3 linked regions of the Drosophila melanogaster genome follow. The gene in region 1 interacts genetically with each later gene. Each region holds a gene or a part of one and is shown in the gene's direction. Other genes may lie near its edges.

The links.
Region 2: of esg (region 1) and pros, changing one suppresses a phenotype caused by changing the other (phenotypic suppression), as found in Drosophila melanogaster (2 studies listed by BioGRID).
Region 3: of esg (region 1) and jus, changing one suppresses a phenotype caused by changing the other (phenotypic suppression), as found in Drosophila melanogaster (one study listed by BioGRID).

Annotation. Positions count from the first base shown.
Region 1 is NT_033779.5:15,332,070-15,335,824, forward strand, and holds the start of esg (escargot), read left to right. Parts: upstream 1-1,796; 5' UTR 1,797-2,024; coding exon 2,025-3,437; 3' UTR 3,438-3,755. UniProt on the Drosophila melanogaster protein: Transcription factor that can both stimulate and repress transcription. Binds to the consensus DNA sequence 5'-A/GCAGGTG-3'.
Region 2 is NT_033777.3:11,326,523-11,330,277, forward strand, and holds the start of pros (prospero), read left to right. Parts: upstream 1-1,957; 5' UTR 1,958-3,434; intron 3,435-3,755. UniProt on the Drosophila melanogaster protein: Homeodomain protein that controls neuronal identity. As a transcriptional factor, regulates the expression of ftz, eve and en in a subset of neuroblast progeny and modulates the transcriptional activity of other homeodomain proteins such as Dfd.
Region 3 is NT_033777.3:29,193,358-29,197,112, reverse strand, and holds the start of jus (julius seizure), read left to right. Parts: upstream 1-2,119; 5' UTR 2,120-2,225; intron 2,226-3,755.

The DNA of each region.
Region 1 (3,755 bases):
ATTAAGTTTTGATTACGTCATTATGTTATTATAAGATTAGACTTTAGTGTTGCGTACCAGAAATTTAAAAAAAAAAAAAATCCCGCACGGTTAACATAATCGACGGCAGGGAATATTAAATTATTAATCGAGAAATCCCCTGAGAAAGCCAAAATTTCATTAATAAATCAGCATGTCGCGGAGAAAATGTCTGCCAACGACGTGCATTTCCCTTATTTTAGATCAAAATGTAACAAAGAACAATATATTAGGGAGTTAACAAAAAATAAACATTTTTTCCTCGTGCTGCAAATAAAAAGAAAGATTGCCGATTAAATAATTCTTTAGTGTCTGGCACGAAAGCAGAGGTGCCTTTACAAAGTTTGCTTAACCAAAGTTTGCTTAACTTTGCAAGAAGAAGGCCTATTAAGAGTACAAATCAAAAATTGATCCCAAAAATGTCTTTTTACTTAAAAGATATGTATTTATTTTGGTAACAAAATTAAATATAAGGGGCGGACCACGCCCACAATTTTTGGTATCGTAAAGATATAGCCTAGTGTTACCCAATAAAAAAAAAAACAGAAACTAAATATCTCTCTCCGTTTTGTCAAAAAGGTACAATTCAGCCTTTAGTGGCTTTGGCGCCTCAAACGTTTTTCAAATCGAAGAGAAAATTTCGAGAGCGAAACAGAAACAAAGTGGAATCGAAACAGTGAGAGTGAAGAGAAGCAATTGGCTTAAAGAGAATGCTTATGCTCTTTTTCGTACTGAATTTTAGCTTGGCTCTTTCTAAACGTTCTAGTTGTATATTTACCGTATTGTATTTCTGAGAAATTTTCCTATTTTTTTAAAATTTTTTCTGGGTATTTGGACAAAATCGAATCAAATCCAAGTCGTAAAATTCTCGCCAATTCGATTACCGGAACATGCCCGCAGAAAAAAATTCTATATCATTATCTAATGATGAATTACAGAATAATCATATTAGTACGCCGAAGTAGTAAAGCTATTAATTTATTATAAATATTCCTAAGGATCCATAATGAAAGATGTTAATATATTTAATATTGTTTACTTATAAACGGGGAATACAATATTTCTAAAACTTTTTACGCAAAATCGATTGAATATTGGTTACTTTTGATTCCGTACAATAACATACTTGTTAATAAACAAATTTAGTGACTACAATTACTACGTTCACTCCTTTCTCCTGCCAAAAAACATTTTATTGATGCAGAAGTCTACCTGCTCATTAATGCATCGCCCTGTGTCCTAAAAATGTTAGTATTTTATGTTGGGTACCTGCCCATGTTTTTTGCGTTTCAGTTATTAAGTCAACTAATGATGCACCTGATAATGATAATGAGGTAAAAGGAAACCCTTGTTCGCTAATCCTCCAAAAGTGGGGTTTTTCGAATTTCTAGTTAAATTTCTAGGTAAGATCATAGATCTCCTTATTGCGCATTGAATGCAAATGCAGAGAGGACGAGAGAGAGCAGCTGCGGAGAGCACGATGCACACAGGTAAACATATTTGAATATATGGCCCACACTAGAGCAAATATAACGGCATCGCTTCGTTTGCGGCTTCGATTGGTGCAAGTGTACGAGTTCGGCACGTGAGGCAATTCTACATAAACAAGGCGAAACCTGTTTAGCCGAGTGCCGCGATTGGTCGACGCATATACCTGAATGAACATGCATACTCTCGGCGGAACGCCCGAGAGAGCGTTCTCTTTTGGCAGCTTCGTGTAATGAGCCGAGTGCCGAGTGCAGGGGCAGTATAAAAAGGCCGCACCACCGCCAAACTCGCTCAGTTATTCCCAGACTCTAACCGATTCACATAACCATCTCTCCCAACGCAATATACCCGAAATATAACCGATATTCAATCGCTTTGCTTAACGGAACACGCGTTTGGTATTTGTGCATCGATCGAGTATTTGTGCCTGTGTGAACATGACACACTGAAAACAAAGTGACGAAAATTAAGAACATTTTACAACAATTCCGGTAAACTATCAATAAAAAGCCAGTAAAATGCATACCGTGGAAGACATGTTGGTGGAGAAAAACTACAGCAAGTGCCCGCTAAAAAAGCGCCCAGTTAATTACCAGTTCGAGGCGCCTCAAAATCACAGTAACACCCCAAATGAGCCGCAGGATTTGTGCGTAAAGAAAATGGAAATTCTGGAGGAAAATCCCTCCGAGGAACTGATCAACGTCAGCGATTGTTGCGAGGACGAGGGTGTGGATGTAGATCATACAGATGATGAACACATCGAGGAGGAGGACGAGGACGTCGATGTGGATGTGGACTCGGACCCAAATCAGACCCAGGCTGCGGCTTTAGCTGCTGCCGCAGCTGTGGCCGCCGCTGCAGCCGCCTCCGTGGTTGTGCCCACGCCCACATACCCGAAATATCCCTGGAACAACTTCCACATGTCGCCCTACACCGCCGAGTTCTACAGGACCATCAATCAGCAGGGTCATCAGATTTTGCCGCTGCGTGGCGATCTCATTGCGCCCAGTTCGCCGAGTGACTCGCTGGGCTCCCTGTCGCCGCCACCACATCATTACCTTCATGGTCGCGCAAGCTCCGTTTCCCCGCCCATGAGATCTGAAATCATCCATAGACCAATCGGCGTGCGGCAGCACCGTTTCCTGCCCTATCCACAGATGCCCGGTTATCCGAGCTTGGGCGGCTATACCCATACCCATCATCACCATGCGCCTATCTCGCCGGCTTATTCCGAGAATTCCTACTACTCCATGCGATCGATGACGCCTGAATCCAGCTGCAGCTCCTCGCTGCCCGAGGATCTATCCCTGAAACACAAGAACCTGAACTTGAATCTAAACACTAGCCAGCCGGGAGAGCAAGCAGCAGCCAAAACCGGGGATATGTCGCCCGAAACTATGCCGAATGCCTCCGCCAAGAAGGACAAGAACCAGCCGCCGCGTTACCAGTGCCCGGATTGCCAGAAATCTTACTCCACCTTCTCCGGGCTGACCAAACATCAGCAGTTCCATTGCCCGGCCGCCGAGGGTAATCAGGTGAAGAAGTCCTTCAGCTGCAAGGATTGTGACAAGACCTATGTTTCGTTGGGTGCCCTCAAGATGCACATTCGCACCCACACGTTGCCCTGCAAGTGCAATCTGTGCGGCAAGGCCTTCTCGCGACCATGGCTGCTGCAAGGACACATTCGCACTCATACGGGAGAGAAGCCCTTCAGTTGCCAGCATTGCCACCGGGCCTTTGCAGATCGCTCGAATCTGCGAGCACATCTGCAGACCCACTCGGACATCAAGAAGTACTCCTGCACCAGTTGCTCGAAGACCTTCTCGCGGATGTCCCTCCTAACCAAGCATTCAGAGGGCGGATGTCCTGGCGGCAGTGCAGGATCCTCCAGCAGCAGCGAACTCAACTACGCCGGCTATGCCGAGCCGTAAGGCAATATATTTATATATACATTATATAGCTGAGATCCCAGCCATGTTCCACCAAAAATTAGTTCCTAGCTCTCTTAGGCGGCTCCAAGTTCCCGAAACTCCCAGTGCAGACACACAACTTCAAGCAGAATTTCACTTGTTTTTTAATTTCTAGTCAGCATTTTCTCCCAGAAGAGAGAAAATTAAAAATTACGTTTTAATTTGTACAATCCGGCAACATTTTTGTAACCACCACCACCAATTTGAATAGTTTGAACCATTTTAAAATGTGTGCCCATAATATATCCTAAAGATGAACTTTGTAAAGTATTCTTCGAT
Region 2 (3,755 bases), on another chromosome or scaffold:
TCTCTTTATGAGCAGCATTCCCAATTTCTCTCTGATATCCTGCGAAGGCCAACCAAACCATACCGAACCATAGCAAACCAAACCAAAACCATATCGAGCCCGAAGCAAAAGCAGAACGGGCACAGTGGCAAAGTCAATAGCCAATGCCATCGATAAAGCCATAAACTTCATGTACTGGGTGGAGATTGTGGGTGCTGCTGTTCCTATCCGGCCTAAACTGCGCCATCCCAGACCTGTGCCCGCGTTCTATCCATTTCCGGGAATACGCGGCGTATGAGTAACGAGCGCGATGCGTAGGATTAAATGCAGGCGCTGCCTAGTTCCGATCTGTGCCTCCTCGTCTATATATCACTGATATACATATATATAATATATATATACATATATATATGTACATATATATGGACACATATATCTCTGAGCACGTACATAGAGAATTGCAGTGGCTGTCGCTGCACTCGCCCACCAATTTTTCTCCGCTTTTTTGATGCGCTTTCCCAGAACCCCCATGTGCATGAGTTAGTAGGAATTTATGCTGGCTCTATTATTGTTGCTCTTGTTGTCGCGGATCCTTTTTGGCGGGGTATGAGTGCGGACGACGCTCTACATTTTTTTCAGCTGCAGTTTTCTTTGCTGGATATTTTAATGCCAACTCTGACGATATACCAATACCAGTGCCAATAACCAACACCCATAAATGGCGGCAAAATAAAATAGGAAAAAAATGTGTGTTGCATTCGCGCAGGGGCAACATAGAAAACTTTTACGTTTCGCTTAGGGTTTTGCTTTATTTTTTGCTTTCAGGTTTCCCTCTTCTTTTTTTGCGATTTTCATTTTGTTGCTTTGGCATTGCAAATGAAAACGAAAAAATTGCATTTTCCCCGCATATGGATGTGTGTGAGAAGCACGAAATCAAAACAAAACATGGCCACATGGCGGGTCCTGTCGGCTGGTGGGTGTGCGGATGGGATGTATGGATGCATGGACGGATGGGGCACATGAACAGTGCACAGCCAGGAGCAACAGCTCCCACAGCTGCCACACTACCTCCCTGCAGATGTATCTGTATCTGCGAAATGGTATGGTCCATCTGGCGGGAAAAGGGGCTGGGTTTTAGGTACACTTAGGCTCGATAGCTGCAGTTTTTCGCCACCCAGTCAGCGAAACAGACCACCACGCAGTTGCCCAGTCCAAAAACCACCTCATCAGTCGTTTGGGGGTTTGGGTGTTCCATACTTTTTGGCGTTGTTTGATTTTTAGGCGCAGCAAAATGCGTTTTGCTCTTGATTGAAAGTGTGAAGAGTGTGGGGCAGCATGCCAGCGTGTGTGTGTGCGATATGTGCATTGTCCGTGTCCTTCTCGCAGTGTGCATGTATTGGCGAGGACGCCGCTGCCGCTGTCGTCGCGCTTTGTTTTGATTTTTCGCGACTGAGCGCGCGTTGCTGTCTGTTTCTCTCTGTGTTTTTGGATTTGTCCAGCAATGCATATGTGCGCCCACTGTTCTAGTGGGTGTGTGTGTGTGTTTGTGGTTGTGTGCGAGGTTTGCATGTATATGTACACTAGCAGCTAGGAGCGGCGCTGACGTCGCAGTCGCAGCAATTTTTTGCGCCAAAGCCAAACCAAAAAGGACGAGGACAATTCGGTTGGCGCTGCAGCTGCGACGTAGCCGCGGAATTTTTTTGCGCGTTTCGCGCCCGGCCAGCGGCCACTTTCATCCGTATCCACGTATCCAAGTATCCACATCCGCATCATCCTACTCCATCAGCGTTAGCATCAGCGGCCGAGGGGCTGGCGTCCCTCATAATCAACGCGCTGCAGCGACGACGCCATCGACATCGACAGCGGCTCTGGCTTTGGCTTTGGCTCTGTGACTCTGGGGCCCGTCATCGTTAGCAATTTTTGCCAGGACATTGCAACAGAAAACTGCTAAACGCGAAACAAGTTGCGGCGCTTTTTTCTGCTCCTCGGGTTCTCGCTGTCTCCCTGTCCTGGCCTGTCCTGAATCGAACTGAGCCGTGCTGCCAGGATCAGGCAGCAGCAGGCAGCAGACAGCAGGCAAGGCACATCAGTAGGCAGTGCAAGGCAGGCAGGCAGGCAGTCGGCAGGCAGGTCGCCACTTCTCGCAGACTTCTTCGCATCTGCATAAATCAAACCCAGAGGCAGTAGCAGAAGCAGTTAGCCACCCCAAGAAAAAACTCTACAACAGAAAAATACCGAAAAACAAAAGAAAAACAAACAAACAAATAGAAATAGAAAAGAGAGACATCGAAGCAGAGAAACGATAGGAGAACGAAAAAAAGTGCCAAGTGAATGTGAAAGTGAAAGTGTGTGCAAAATGACTTGAAGTGCAAGACTAGACACCTATGTACGTACCACCTACACCACCCAGCCTGGAACACACTACGTATACGCAATGCGGCCCAGGCGCTCATACGCCCCGTTGGCCCGCCAGCCCTTCGAACTAAGACTCGGGCTGGGGCTCGAACAGCCATCGCTCGCCATGCCGTCTTGAGTGCAAAAAATTACCCGCCAAAAACCCAAAAACACACACGGCCGGCTTGCGCCAAAGACAATGTAAGCGCCGGCACTAGAATGTAGAGCAGTTTTTTCTTCATTTCCCAAAACTAACTAACAAAACCAGCCAGCCAACAACAAATAACAAAATAGACAAAGTTACATTTTTACCAATATCGATAATATTAATCACTTGATAATCAGCGCCAGTCAAACGCAACATTTCGTTCGTAAACAACAACTACAACTAGCCACAACAAAGCAAGTCAAAGCCAAGAAGCAACCAAATAAGCAGGCAATACCAGTCAGTCCGTAACGTCAGCAGCAGAAACCAACGAAAAACCAAAATAATAAAGTAAAACGATTGAGTAACTCCAGTTTCAGTACCGCACCGATTCCGATTTGAGCAAAAATTCAAGCGTCTGAATTTGATTTCGATATCGTCTGGCCCGTTCCGTCTTCAAGTCTCGGCCAAAGGTTCGTCATCGTCCCGACACACTCTCAGTTTCTACAAATTCAGACGTAGATCCTTAGTTAATTCACCTTTTGTATTGTGCATTTCGGCAAGCAAATATTTTGGAAAGGATCCCCAGAGAACAAAAAAAAAAAAAGGCGAAGAAGAGCAGAAGTCAACACTCGAAATCGAAAACTACGAAATTACCTGAAAATTTTTAAACAACCAAAAAGTCTATGAATGCAACAAAAATTACACGCTAAATTTTACAAGTGCAAAATTTTCTTATAATAATTTATCAAAAAAATAAAAATAAATTTACAAAAAAAAAAAAAATTAAAAAAGAAGCATAAAAAAACGGAACTTAGTGAGAAAATTAATCAAAGTTTAGAGAGAACATTAAATGCAAACGGAATATCAAAAATTGTTGTGATGTGATATTTTTTCGATGTACTTTTATTTGAGGGTAAGTAAAGATCACTATCAAAAATTCATTTTTCAACCATTACTCCATTCTTTTCATCAATCATTGACTCATTGGGGTTTATTTATCTTTTCAGAATTATAGAATTTAGATAGAGAAATAAGGGAAATAAATACATTCGAAGCGTATATTTTAAGATCTAGGTAATTTAAAGATGTTCTGATTAAGAAAAGTATCTATTATGGGATGCTTGATCATAAGAAAATGATTAACAGTGAGCATTTAACTACTGATCATTTTTGGAAGAGAACGAGAAGAGAACGACATTTAAGACAAATAGTAAATGGATAATATGAGTGTGAA
Region 3 (3,755 bases), on another chromosome or scaffold:
AGAATAAATCATTGACAGATGCCAGCTGCCATCCCAATAGATTTTCTTTGACTAATTTATGGCCGCAGCGGTGCTATTAAGCTGACCGCAAATGTAGTGGGGCGCTCAGCTGGCGGCGGCCAACCAGTTTTTAATGATCAAAAAGCAAATGGCCAAAACACACAGAGTTCCTTTCCTGCACAGTGATCCAAACTGGGTCACACATTAGTCCCTCCCCTGGTCGACGAATCGGATTTCTTTGCTCGGTTTGGTGGTCTGGGCCCGAAACTCTGGTGCTGCTCTAAGTGCTCCATTGCGAAATTCTATGCTTCTAATCGCTGAAAATGTTGGAAAATGTTGGAAAATGCTGTCCGCACTGCAACATGTTCCGCAGTTTGTTTACTTTGCGCCTGTTCGCTGCATTTTTCAGCGCGTTTTAATGTTTTAATTGACAGGCAGCCGCCGTTGGCGTTGATTTCGCTGAATTGAGTTGGCTCCGGTTGGGTTTTTCCTTTTTCTGATTTCTCAGTTGTGATTTTTTTCTGGCAGTTCGCTTTTCCCCCTTTGATACCGCTGCGTTTCGCATTTCACAGCTTCAGTCGGCGGTTTCCTTTCTGGGATCCGCCAACGCCATTCCTTCGTGGAATATGGTTTTCCACCACCTCATTTTCACTTTAGTTTTTGGCAAGGGGGATAATTGCAACAGCTGCTGTCAGTTGGAATACAAATGGAATAATTAAGTCAGTTCTTTAACTTTAAGCATTTGCTTAAATTTTCATTTATAAATTGTTCGGAATGTTTTAAAATAGTGTTTATACTCATTAAGAGAAATAATTATGCGAAATAATTATCAATTAAACTATAACAAATGGCACACAACACAGCTATGTGTTTTATAATTCCTATTTTCGCAGCATATTTTATAGCTAGAATGGTAACTAAATAAAAAATATAAATAAAGTGCCCAATTATTTCTGCTCACTTTAATTATCTTTTTTTTTTTTTTTTGTTATTCACAAGCACTGCAAACAGCATACCGAATGGCACACAAATTCTAATTTAATAAATGCGCAAATGACCAACAACACTTCGGGCCAAAACACACTTTTAAGTGCTAGTGTGTGTATCTACACGCACTCACACTTTGGGCCAAGTCAATACCAAACTTGTTTCATTAATTAAAATGTTCGGTTAATTATTCAAATTGCACGTGCCAGCGTCAGCAACTTTTGCGCACAAAACTAAATTGTTTGCTTTTGGCAATGTGTTTGTGCTGAAACGTGATAAATAATACTCTAGATTGCTGAACTTTACAATTGGACATTGGCGCTTATTTGCATTTCAAGTTGGCCGCACTGCAAAGGTCAGTTAACCCGGTGGCTTTGCTTTAACCGAAGGATCAGCGGGCCGAAAGGACATATCATCCATTATGGATGCGGCGAATGCGAATTTTCAACTCCCTGCACTGGGCAGCAGCATACCGAAATTTTCGGCCATTGAAAATGACATTTGCGCCACATCACACCAGGTCTTGTTACGCTACACAGAGAAAAATATACTAAAAATATTATAGAATTTCATTTTATTATGAATTAATCTATTCATATTTGTTTGATATTTTTGATTTTTTTTATATATAAAATACACTATTTACAAAACTTTAACGCATCAAGTCATGCCATTATCATAGAGTTTAAAAATATAAGTAAGCTAAATATTTTATCAATTAATATCTATATATAATATATATATAATATGCAAGCTGGTAATGTGTTTCTTTCAGTGCATCCATCCTCCGGCCAATGCATGCGAAATTTACTTCAACCTAAAGTACGAAAAAAGTGGGCAAACGAAGGAAAACTGCCAGCCGCCTTAAACCGATGTGCCATGTAAATAGTGGAGCTTGTGGGCTCAGAGGGGGGGATGGAGCGGTGGCCCGAGGAGGGGTCGAAAAATCCACTTCATCGGCGACGGTTGGCGCGGAAAAGTGTGTCACCTGCAGGCGGGAAATGCGCAGGTCCTGTGAGAGGAAAAGCGGCTGCCGCCTGATGGTGACTTTTCCTCGCAGACTTTTCACCAACGCCACATTCGCATTTTCCACCAAGGCTGTGGGAAATTCGGCTCAGAACGTGGTCAGACGTCGAAGCGCGTGGTCGTCGAGTTTTCCGAGAAAATCCAGTGGGAAAGCAAACAGTGCGAGGCAGCAGCAGCAGCAGCAACAACAACTATCTAGAGCAAAGGAAATTGTGAGCAATTTGTATTTTAGTAGTATATTTCTTACGCGCGTGAGTGTGTGTGTGTGTGTGAGTCAGTGAATGAGTGTGTAAGTGTGTGAATGTGGTGATGAACCGAACAGCGTGCAACAAGAATAAAAAACGAATGCCCAAAAGTGCCAAACACAAACAACAACAAAAAAAACGAGATGAAAACAGAATATACATAAATGGCAAGCAAATATTTTTCTTCTTGAGCAGGGCAAAGAAAATCACAAACTGCAGCGTATCCATGCCCTCAAACCAAAAAAAAAAGAAAAACAAAAAAATAAAACGAAGAAAACAGTGAAAAGCAATCAAAGTAATAAACGAAAAGGGGGGAATGGCGAACCGAACTGAAAGCAAATCAAAAAAATCAATGCCCTTTCTGCGGAATTATACGTTGCGTATACGTGATATGTACCGAGGTAGCCAAGTCAAATAATAATAAAGGAAATTCTCACGTGACGCATAAAAAAGCCAAGCTCGCACACACACACAGCGATGGCAACAGTAACACGGCATGCCCCTCAAACATACGCACACAGCGGTAAACTTACTACCTGGGACACAAATTGAAGTTGGCGAAACATATTTGCGCAGCAAAGTTGCTACACGCAGCGAAAACTCGCTGCAGTAGTTTCAAATTGTGGGGGGAAACTGTGATAAACACAATTCATAACCAGAAAAGAGTTGAACTAATCAGAAATCTATAAAAGATCTTAAAGTTATGGCTATTTAAAAGCAATGTGGTGCCTAAAGTTGTGGTAGTGCCTAAAAGTAGGCAATGGAATTTGTCATTCGTGAAATGTGACTTGCTGCGTATGTATATAAGTATGATTTGTGTGAAATATCATCATAGCACTGATGAAATTCAAACATTTTCTCATCTTTTCTTGCAAAAGTGTCCCACTTTTCTCCGCCTGCATTTGGAAGGCACATGATTATGATGAGCTTGCCTCGCAAACTTGTTTCTTTTTTGAGGCTCGTGGCTCGAAAATGACAACAGCTGGATGGCCGAGTGGGTGGGTGGCGGAAGATTGCCTTTTGCCGCATTTGTTGCCGCTATTTTGCATACATTGAATTTAATGAACTGCCTGTGTGCGGTGTGTTGGATTTGCTTTTAATAATTTAGGCTGCGCGCGAACTAAATGGCGCTTTTAAAGTACGAACCGTCAGGCGACCCCAATATGGGCGACAAACGGGCGAGATGAGGCACAAATGAAAATATGAAAAAGGGCAGGGAAAACACGAACCATTTAATGCCCCTTCGCACCCTCGTTGCGCCTGTATGGATACGCTGTGAGCTGGTGTGTGTGTGCAACCCCAAGTCGGAAGGGCAGACATACTAACACACTTCAGCCGGAGGACTACGTCATCCTGGCCCAGAAGCTTTGGGGCCAGCAGCCCCCCCCGACAAAGCCAAGCCAAACCACTGCGAACCGAACCCAACCAAACCAAAGCGAACTTCGCTGGGAGCACAACTTTCCCTCGACGTCGCCACATTTTCGCATTCACAATCAC